Sus scrofa: one gene and its partner. The protein of the gene in region 1 interacts with the protein of each later gene in a pairwise test. Links are inferred from orthologs where the notes say so. Each region holds a gene or a part of one and is shown in the gene's direction. Other genes may lie near its edges.

What was found.
Region 2: the proteins of DDX58 (region 1) and MAVS interact in binary tests that used the Homo sapiens proteins (3 or more experiments, as listed by UniProt). The link is inferred for Sus scrofa from reciprocal best matches to the Homo sapiens genes RIGI and MAVS.

The regions. Positions count from the first base shown.
Region 1 is NC_010452.4:33,905,138-33,908,785, forward strand, and holds part of DDX58 (probable ATP-dependent RNA helicase DDX58), read left to right. Parts: intron 1-247; coding exon 248-401; intron 402-968; coding exon 969-1,227; intron 1,228-2,403; coding exon 2,404-2,566; intron 2,567-3,648.
Region 2 is NC_010459.5:31,866,426-31,870,794, reverse strand, and holds the start of MAVS (mitochondrial antiviral-signaling protein), read left to right. Parts: upstream 1-1,521; 5' UTR 1,522-1,643; intron 1,644-4,369.

The DNA.
Region 1 (3,648 bases):
CATGAGGAGGGAAAGAAAAATGACTCCTTTTAACTTCCTGCAGGCCCTGGCTGTTTGAGTGCATGTGACCCAGGAGGTAACTTGGCTTTTGAGTCATTGTATAAATTCTCCAGTTTTTAACCCACCCACATCACCAATTTACTAGTCAGAGCAGTGGTTTTAGGGGCGCCAAATATAATGATTTTTCTACAGAAATATTTTCGTATACTCTTAGTTACATGTTTTCTTTATCTTTTATATACTAAAGGTTGTGGAAAAACCTTTGTTTCTCTTCTTATATGTGAACATCATCTTAAGAAATTTCCACGAGGACGAAAGGGGAAGGTTGTCTTTTTTGCTATTCAACTCCCAGTGTATGAGCAGCAGAAATCTGTGTTCTCAAAACATTTTGAAAGACTTGGGTACGTATAGCAGTTGGTCCAACTTCTTTTTCTCTAGCTTCATGTAACCAATGTGTTTTCTGCTTTGTTTTGCTTTTGGAAAACCATGATCCAAAAAATTTACGGTAGATTCAGCTAGATATTAATTCCTTCATAGATCCAAGTCTTTTTTGTTAGATATAGCTGAAATGCTAACCTCCTGTGATTAGCTTTGGCAGTGTGAGTAAATGACTTGAGATAAATTTTACAGCTAAATGCCACATTTAACTTTTCAATGATTTTGAGTGAATCAGTATTTTATATTAGTCTTGCCTTTATTTTCTTTTTCAATTCCTTGAAAAAACTACTTTCGGCTCTCTCTATCTGCAGGTGCCACATGGAATGTTTTTTAGCAGTTCTTCCTGGCTTACATTTGTTGATCACTTACTGTGTGCAGGGCTTTGTGCTAAGCTCTTAACTTTTCTCCAGATCTGTTCCTTTTAGACTTAGGGAGAACTAATCAATCGATGTTCTGATCTGGTACATCCTTTGTGTGTGATTCCTCATTCCTATTATGGTTGGTAATAGGAAATTTCTGTCATTTTCCAGGTACAAAGTTGCAGGCATTTCTGGAGCAACGTCTGACACTGTCTGTGTGGAACAGATTGTTGAGAACAACGACATCATCATCTTAACACCACAGATTCTTGTGAACTGTCTTACCAATGGGACAATTCCATCACTCTCTGTGTTTACTTTGATGATATTTGATGAATGCCACAACACCAGCAAACAGCATCCTTATAATGTCATCATGTTTAATTATCTAGATCGGAAACTTGGAGGATCTTCAGACTCACTGCCCCAGGTATCTCCCAAGTCAGATGGATTTCTGAGAAGAGCTCGAACTTGTCTAGATCTTTTTTGTTTTTTTAGGCTGCACCTGAGGCATATGGAGGCACCCAGGCTGGGGGTCGAATCGGAGCTGCAGCTGCTGGTCTACAGCACAGCCACAGCAACACCAGATCTGAGCTGCCTCCAAGACCCATACCACAGCTCACTGCAAGGCTGGATCCTTAACCCACTGCTGGAGGGCAGGGATTGAACCCGCATCTTCATGGATACTAGTCAGGTTCATTACTTCTGAGCCACAATGAGAACTCCCTAACTTTCCTAGATCCCATTTGCATACCCTGTGGCCGTATCGAGGATGTCCTTCTGAGATCCTAAATGCCTTTCGTATGGCTCCTTAATTAATATCGATTCATTTATTCACTTCACAAATAGGTATTAGGTGCCTCTCTGTGTCATGCACTATGCTAGGCATTGGGGGTACAAATATAAAAAGACATGGTCCTTTCCCTCACACAACTTAAGTTTTGTGGGGAGCCACATGCTTAAGAATTACGATTTATGGTGATGGCACACTATGGATGTACAGAACAGAAAGATGCTGTGAAAGTAAGGCAAGACCTAACAGAAGTTGGGTGAGGCAAAAACTAATGGGAGTTTACGAGGCAGATAGCTGGATGGTTTTCAGTAAAGGCTTCTGTGTGTCCAGAGGCACAGATGTGTGAAAAAGTAAGGTGTGCTCAAGAGTCTTGAACTTCTTCAGCATCACCTGAGACCAGTCGGTGAGGCAGGAGGGGGAGAGGGAATGATTGACAGAACAAGATACCAGGAGACTAGAGGGCATGGGATAAGTGTGCAAGCAGAAATAAGTAAAGATGGGGCAGATGAAAAACCATTCTTGGAGTTCCCGTTGTGGCTCAGCAGTAACGAATCCAACTAGTATCCATGAGGATGCGGTTCAATCCCTGGCCTTGCTCAGTGGGTTAAGGATCTGGTGTTGCTGAGGCTGTGGTGTGGGCCTCAGGTGCAGCTCCGATTTGACCCCTAGCCTGGAAATTTCCATGTGCTGACAGTGCGGCCATAAAAAGAAAAAAAAAAAACAATAAAAAGCCCTATTGTGCAGAAAAGAGTTCCAGGAGCGGAATATCATGCTATTTCCCAGACATCTAATGGTTCGGGATGCTCCTCACAGGTCATTGGACTGACTGCCTCGGTTGGCGTTGGGGATGCAAAAAACAAGGCTGAAGCCACAGAATACATCTGCAAATTGTGTGCTTCTCTTGACACTTCGGTCATAGCAACAGTCAGAGACAACTTGGAAGAACTAGAGGAAGTTGTGTATAAGCCCCAGAAGTGTAAGTGGGATCCAGTAACAAGCCCTTCCAGATTTTGTTACCCTTTGCTCATCTTGGTTCAGGGCCATTTAGATGAACCCTGTGTTTTTACCCTTTGTCTGTTGTATAGGAAATATTTAACCCCAAGCTTAGGAAGGAATCACATTTCCCGTTCTCTTCCCACCTGAGCTCAGAAGTGGCCTGTAGAGAGCAGACACGCTTATTCTTCATTTTCCTAACACTCTTGTGAAGGCACTGGCAGTAAGGGAGAGCTGCTGGGAAGATCTGAGCATACAGATGGCTCGGTCTTTCTCAGGTGCCAGGCCTGGGAAGGACACTGAGTGCTTGGCCAATCTTTGAATATGTATCTGGGAATTTTGGTTGATGTGAAATTATTTGAACTCATCTTTCCTCAAAAGATCAGAATATGATTTTATGACTACAATTGACTAACACATGTTTATTGAGTACAATGCTGTACTAGCCCAGCAGGCGAAAGGGATACAGAAGATGCCTGTAACTCTTGTTGCCTTGCTCTCTGAACGGCATAGGGCTGGATTGGATAAAAGGCAGAACAAATACACATGAAAGAGTCCAGGAGCTTCATGGAAGGAGTTTAGAGAAAGTACTCAATCTGAACCTCTTAATATCACATACACATTTTGTTTCGTTTTGTTTTCTGTCCCCGCCCCGTCCCGACCATGGCATATGGAGTTCCTGAGTCAGGGATTAGATGCGAGCCACAGCTGTGATCCAGCCATAGCAGCTCTGGATCCCTATCCCACTGTGCCAGGCCAGGGATTGAACTTGTATGCCAGGGCTCCAGAGATGCCACCAATCCCTTTGCGCCATGGTGGGAACTCCCACATATCTTTATAATCCTGTCCCTCCCATGCTCTGAGCTTCATCTCCTCCCACCTCCCATAAACCCAAGCACATGGCCTTCCTTCTGCCTCCTCAGGTGGGTCCTTTGTGTTCTCTCTCCAAGTTTTGTCCATCCCAGCCTTTGCCCATGACTGCTCACTCCCCCTTGCCTCTTCCCCTATTTCCTCACAACGCTGCCTCTCCTGGAAGAGTTAGGGCCTCTCCTGTGCCCCGTGACT
Region 2 (4,369 bases), on another chromosome or scaffold:
CATGTACTCTCTGTGCTTGGCTGGGTTAGCCACGGTGTCCATTCCATCCTGGTAATATTCATCCACATTGTGGATATGAGTAGTTTTCCTTGACTGTTCTTTTTCACTACTGTATACACCACAGTCCATCTCTCCATTCTGTTTATGCACATTTGTTTCCAGAACTTGCATATTGTGAATAAAGCCACTATTGTGTGTGTTTCCAAGTGGACTCATAGGGTTTATATGTTTAATTTAAGGACTTCCAAGCATTTCATATGTTTAACTCATATGTTTAACTTAAGGACTGCCAAGCATTTCCCCAAATCTTTTAATCTCTCTCTCTCTCTTTTTTTTTTTTTGACTGCGCCTGCAGCATATGGAAGTTTCAAGGTCAGGGATCAAATACTACCTGCAGCTCGGACCTATGCCACAGCTGCTCACAAGGCTGGATCCTTAACCCACCACACCCACAACCCCCACCACAGCAAAGACACCTCTGGATCCTTAACCGGCTAAGCCACAGCCAGAACTCCTAATCTCTCTTTAAAACAGGAAAAAAAAGTAGTTCCCATCATGGCGCAGTGGTTAGCGAATCCGACTAGGAACCATGAGGTCGCGGGTTTGATCCCTGGCCTTGCTCAGTGGGTTAAGGATCTGGCGTTACCGTGAGCTGTGGTGTAGGTCGCAGACGTGGCTCAGATCCCGCGTTGCTGTGGCTCTGGTGTAGGCCAGCGGCTACAGCTCCGATTGGACCCCTAGACTGGGAAATCCATATGTCACGTGAGCGGCCCAAGAAATGGCAAAAAGACCAAAAAAAAAAAAAAACCAACCAACCAAACAAACAAAAAACAAAAACAGGAAAAAAAATAAACCTCTACTTTTTTTGGGAGAATATTTAATGGGCCCTAAGACTTTAAGTCTGTACCTGAAACAGTGGGCATTCAATAACTGCTGGCCTTTGCTGCCTCGGCAGAGCAGGCGGTTGGGGAAAACTGCGGTGAGGTACCAACCAGAATTCTTGAAAGGAGAGGGCGTTTCCACGCAGCACTCAGAGCCCACCCCCAGCGTGCCCAACCTTGTGAGACAAACTAGGCGCCCTGGCCCTTTCATACACCTATCCCCCCACCCCCGCACTCCAGATCGATCTTGCCTCCTCAGGCCCAGAACGTGTCGCCTGGCTGGGCACTTTTCATGACATCCGACGTTTATTGAGCACTGACTATGTGATAGGCCCTGGGTGAACGACCAAAAGACCCTCACCCCTCAAATTACTCAGCGTGAGGAATGGTAGCTTCGTGTGGGAAGCGTCGTGGACCAAGGCCGCCACAGTTTCGACTTGGTTTCTAACCAGACCCTGGACTTCCCCCTGGAAGTTGCTCGAGACAAACAAGAAAAGAAGGTCATCTGGTCATCTGCTCCTTTGCACTCCAAAAAGTACGAACCCAGGTCAGTCCCGAGCGCCCGTCCGGCGAGTCCAGGCCCCCAAACCACCACCGAGTACCCGCCCCCCGCCGCCCAGTGGCTCCCACTGGAGCCGAAACCCCGCCCCCGCCGTCTGGCCAATGGCCGTGCAGCTCCGGCCCCCACTCTCCTGTCCTGCTGGGGAGGGTTCCGGGCTATAGGCTACAGGAGGCAGGTTGCCTGGCCGTGGCTACCCCGAGGTAAGATCGCCGGCCCTGGAGCTCGGTCCTCTGGGCTCTGGGGCACGGACGCCTTTCGGGGAGGTAGCCCGCAGGGAGGGAGCTGAGTGGGAGTCGGAGTCCTTCGGGCCGCATGAGGCTTGGGGCGCCCGGCGGCCGAGAAGAGCGGATTCTTAGGCTCGTGGGGTTCGGGGCAGCGAGGGCTCCGCGCGCCGCAACCATCACTGAGGGCTTGGGAGGTGCGTGGCACCGGCGTCTGCTTGGATTGGAGACGAGGTTGGGCCGGAAGGAGACAGGCGCTGACTCCTGAGCCCCTTCCAGTCGCCCTCAGGTCCAGGGTGATCCCCAGGCGAGGCCTAGCCCGGGTGCGCTAATGTCTGGAGGCCGCGGCCGCGCTTGAGGGGTCGAGGACTGCCGCCGTCCCCTGGGTCCTGACTGTTCTCGGCGCTGACATCTGCTCAGAACAGCCCACCCGCCCTCTGAAGTCCTGGGTCTGGCCCAGGAATTATGGAATCCGAGCTGAGGCTGTGAGGCCGCGCCCCTTCCGGGAGGGTGGAATTTTCTTTCTGGAACGGACACACAGCCTCTGGTGCAGTCGGGGTAGAAACTCTCCTAGCCGCATCCATCAGGAGCACTCCGCCGCGCATCTTATCCGAGACCAGGAGGTGTCAGGAAAACAATGGAAAAAAATCAACATTCTTCGTTTGAAGGCTCAAAAACACCTGAAAGGACTTCTGAAAGGACCTGAGAACCCGGCTGCTGTAGTGGGCAGAGTTAGAAGGGCCTCAGATCTGTCCAAAAGATTCCATTCCCCACAAGAGCAGGGACCAAATTCTGCATTTTTCCCAGGCCACTTTCAGTCAGTCCTACACCTCCCCCACCCCCATCCCCAGCCAGGCAGTGACCTTGGGGTTTGAAGGCCTGGAGTCAAGTGAGTCTCGCTTGCTGCAGGGGTTTCTTTGCCCTGCACCGTGTATGATGAGTTTCAATTAGGCAACAAGTCCTGGGTTCAAATCCTGTTAGGCCACTGGTCAGCTGTGCAACGTGGCTTCATTTCTTAAGGGATTGTGGCAAGGATTAAATGAAAGAAATTTAGTATGTGCCTGCCAGTAGTGGACCCTTAATAAATGTGAACAGATATGGGGTTCCTTTCTTTTTGGTTGAACCAATTCATACCCCGATACCCCCAGACTCTGTGCCTCAGGGGCTGAGACTGGGATGCAGAAGAATGTTTCACCTGCCTCTCTCCTGATACCTCTCTGTATCCCACAGGAGGGAAGGGGAAATGGGTATATTTGCCCCCACAGTGTTCTTTGCTCATTTCCTAAAGGCTCAGGGGACCCCTGCCCCACCTCCCTGATCCTCTTGACCTCTGTCTTTTGTACTTGCCTCACGAGGGAAGTTGCACCTGGTGTTGGCAAAGCAAGTTGCGCAGTGTGTGGCTATGAGGCCGGTGGCAGCAGGTAGGCAGGACTGCTGCCCCATTTCACATGTGGTGGGGGACTGGCAGCCTCAGCAGCTTTACATTACTCTCTGCTCTGCAGCACTGTCTCCTAGAGCTCCCACCCAAGCTTGACACCCATGTTTCTACTCTAGCCTGCCCCCTCTACTCTGCCCCCTTCCCTCCCGGAAAAGCCCCTTGGATATCCAATAGCATCTCCAACTTCACTTGTTCAGATGGAGCCCTGGAGCCCCATCTGCACCACTGCTTCTCCCGCAGATTCTCTGGCTTGCTAAGTGGCACCCTCCATCCACCCAGTGCCGAAGGTGTCATTCCAGATCCTTCTCTCTCCTTCATCTCCTGTATCCACAAAATACCAGGAATCCGGCCACCCCTCACCATCTTCATGGTTACCATCCTGGTGTACCCCTCATGGGGTCCCTGCTGTGGCCTCCTGACATATCTCCCTGCTTCCATCCTGCCCCCTCCACAGTACAGGGTCCTTACAATCACTGCAGAGGTATATATATATATTTTTTTAAATTTTTTCTTCTCTTTAGGGCCTCACTCGCGGCATACGGGGATTCCCAGGCTAGGGGTCCCATCGGAGCTACAGCTGCTGGCCTACACCAGAGCCACAGCAACACAGGATCTGAGCCACGTCTGTGAACTACACCACAGCTCATGGCAACACCAGATCCGTAACCCACTGAGTGAGGCCAGGGATCAAACCTGCATCCTCATGGATGCTAGTTGGGGTTGTTAACTGCTGAGCCATGATGGGAACTCCACCACAGAGATCTTTAACATAAATCAAGTCTTCTCCTTTTCCTGCTCAAAACCCTCCAATGGCTCCCCATTTCACTCCAAATAAAACTCAAAGTCCTTTCCTATAATGGCCTACATAAGTGGCCCTTCACAACCTCCTTGACCTTGATCTCTACCCCTCCCCCTAGCTTTCTAAACCTGGACCGCTCTGATCTACTTTTCTCATCTTCAAACATGCCAAGTGTTTTCCCACCTTTGGACTTCTCACTGGCTATGCCCTCTGCCCAAAGCACTATCTTGCAGCCAAGAATGGTTTGGCTCAATGTCATCAATTCAGAAAGGTCTCCCTGACCATCCCAGTTCAAGCAGCATACCCTTCTTCAGGGGCTCTGTCTCATCATCCACTTCATTTTTTTCTATAACCTTTATTCCTAGCTGGAGTTACATTTTACTGATTTGTTATCTGTCCCACCTCAGTAGAATGTAAATTGGATGATGGCAGAGATCTTGTCTGTCTTGTTCCCTGCAGCTCTCCCTT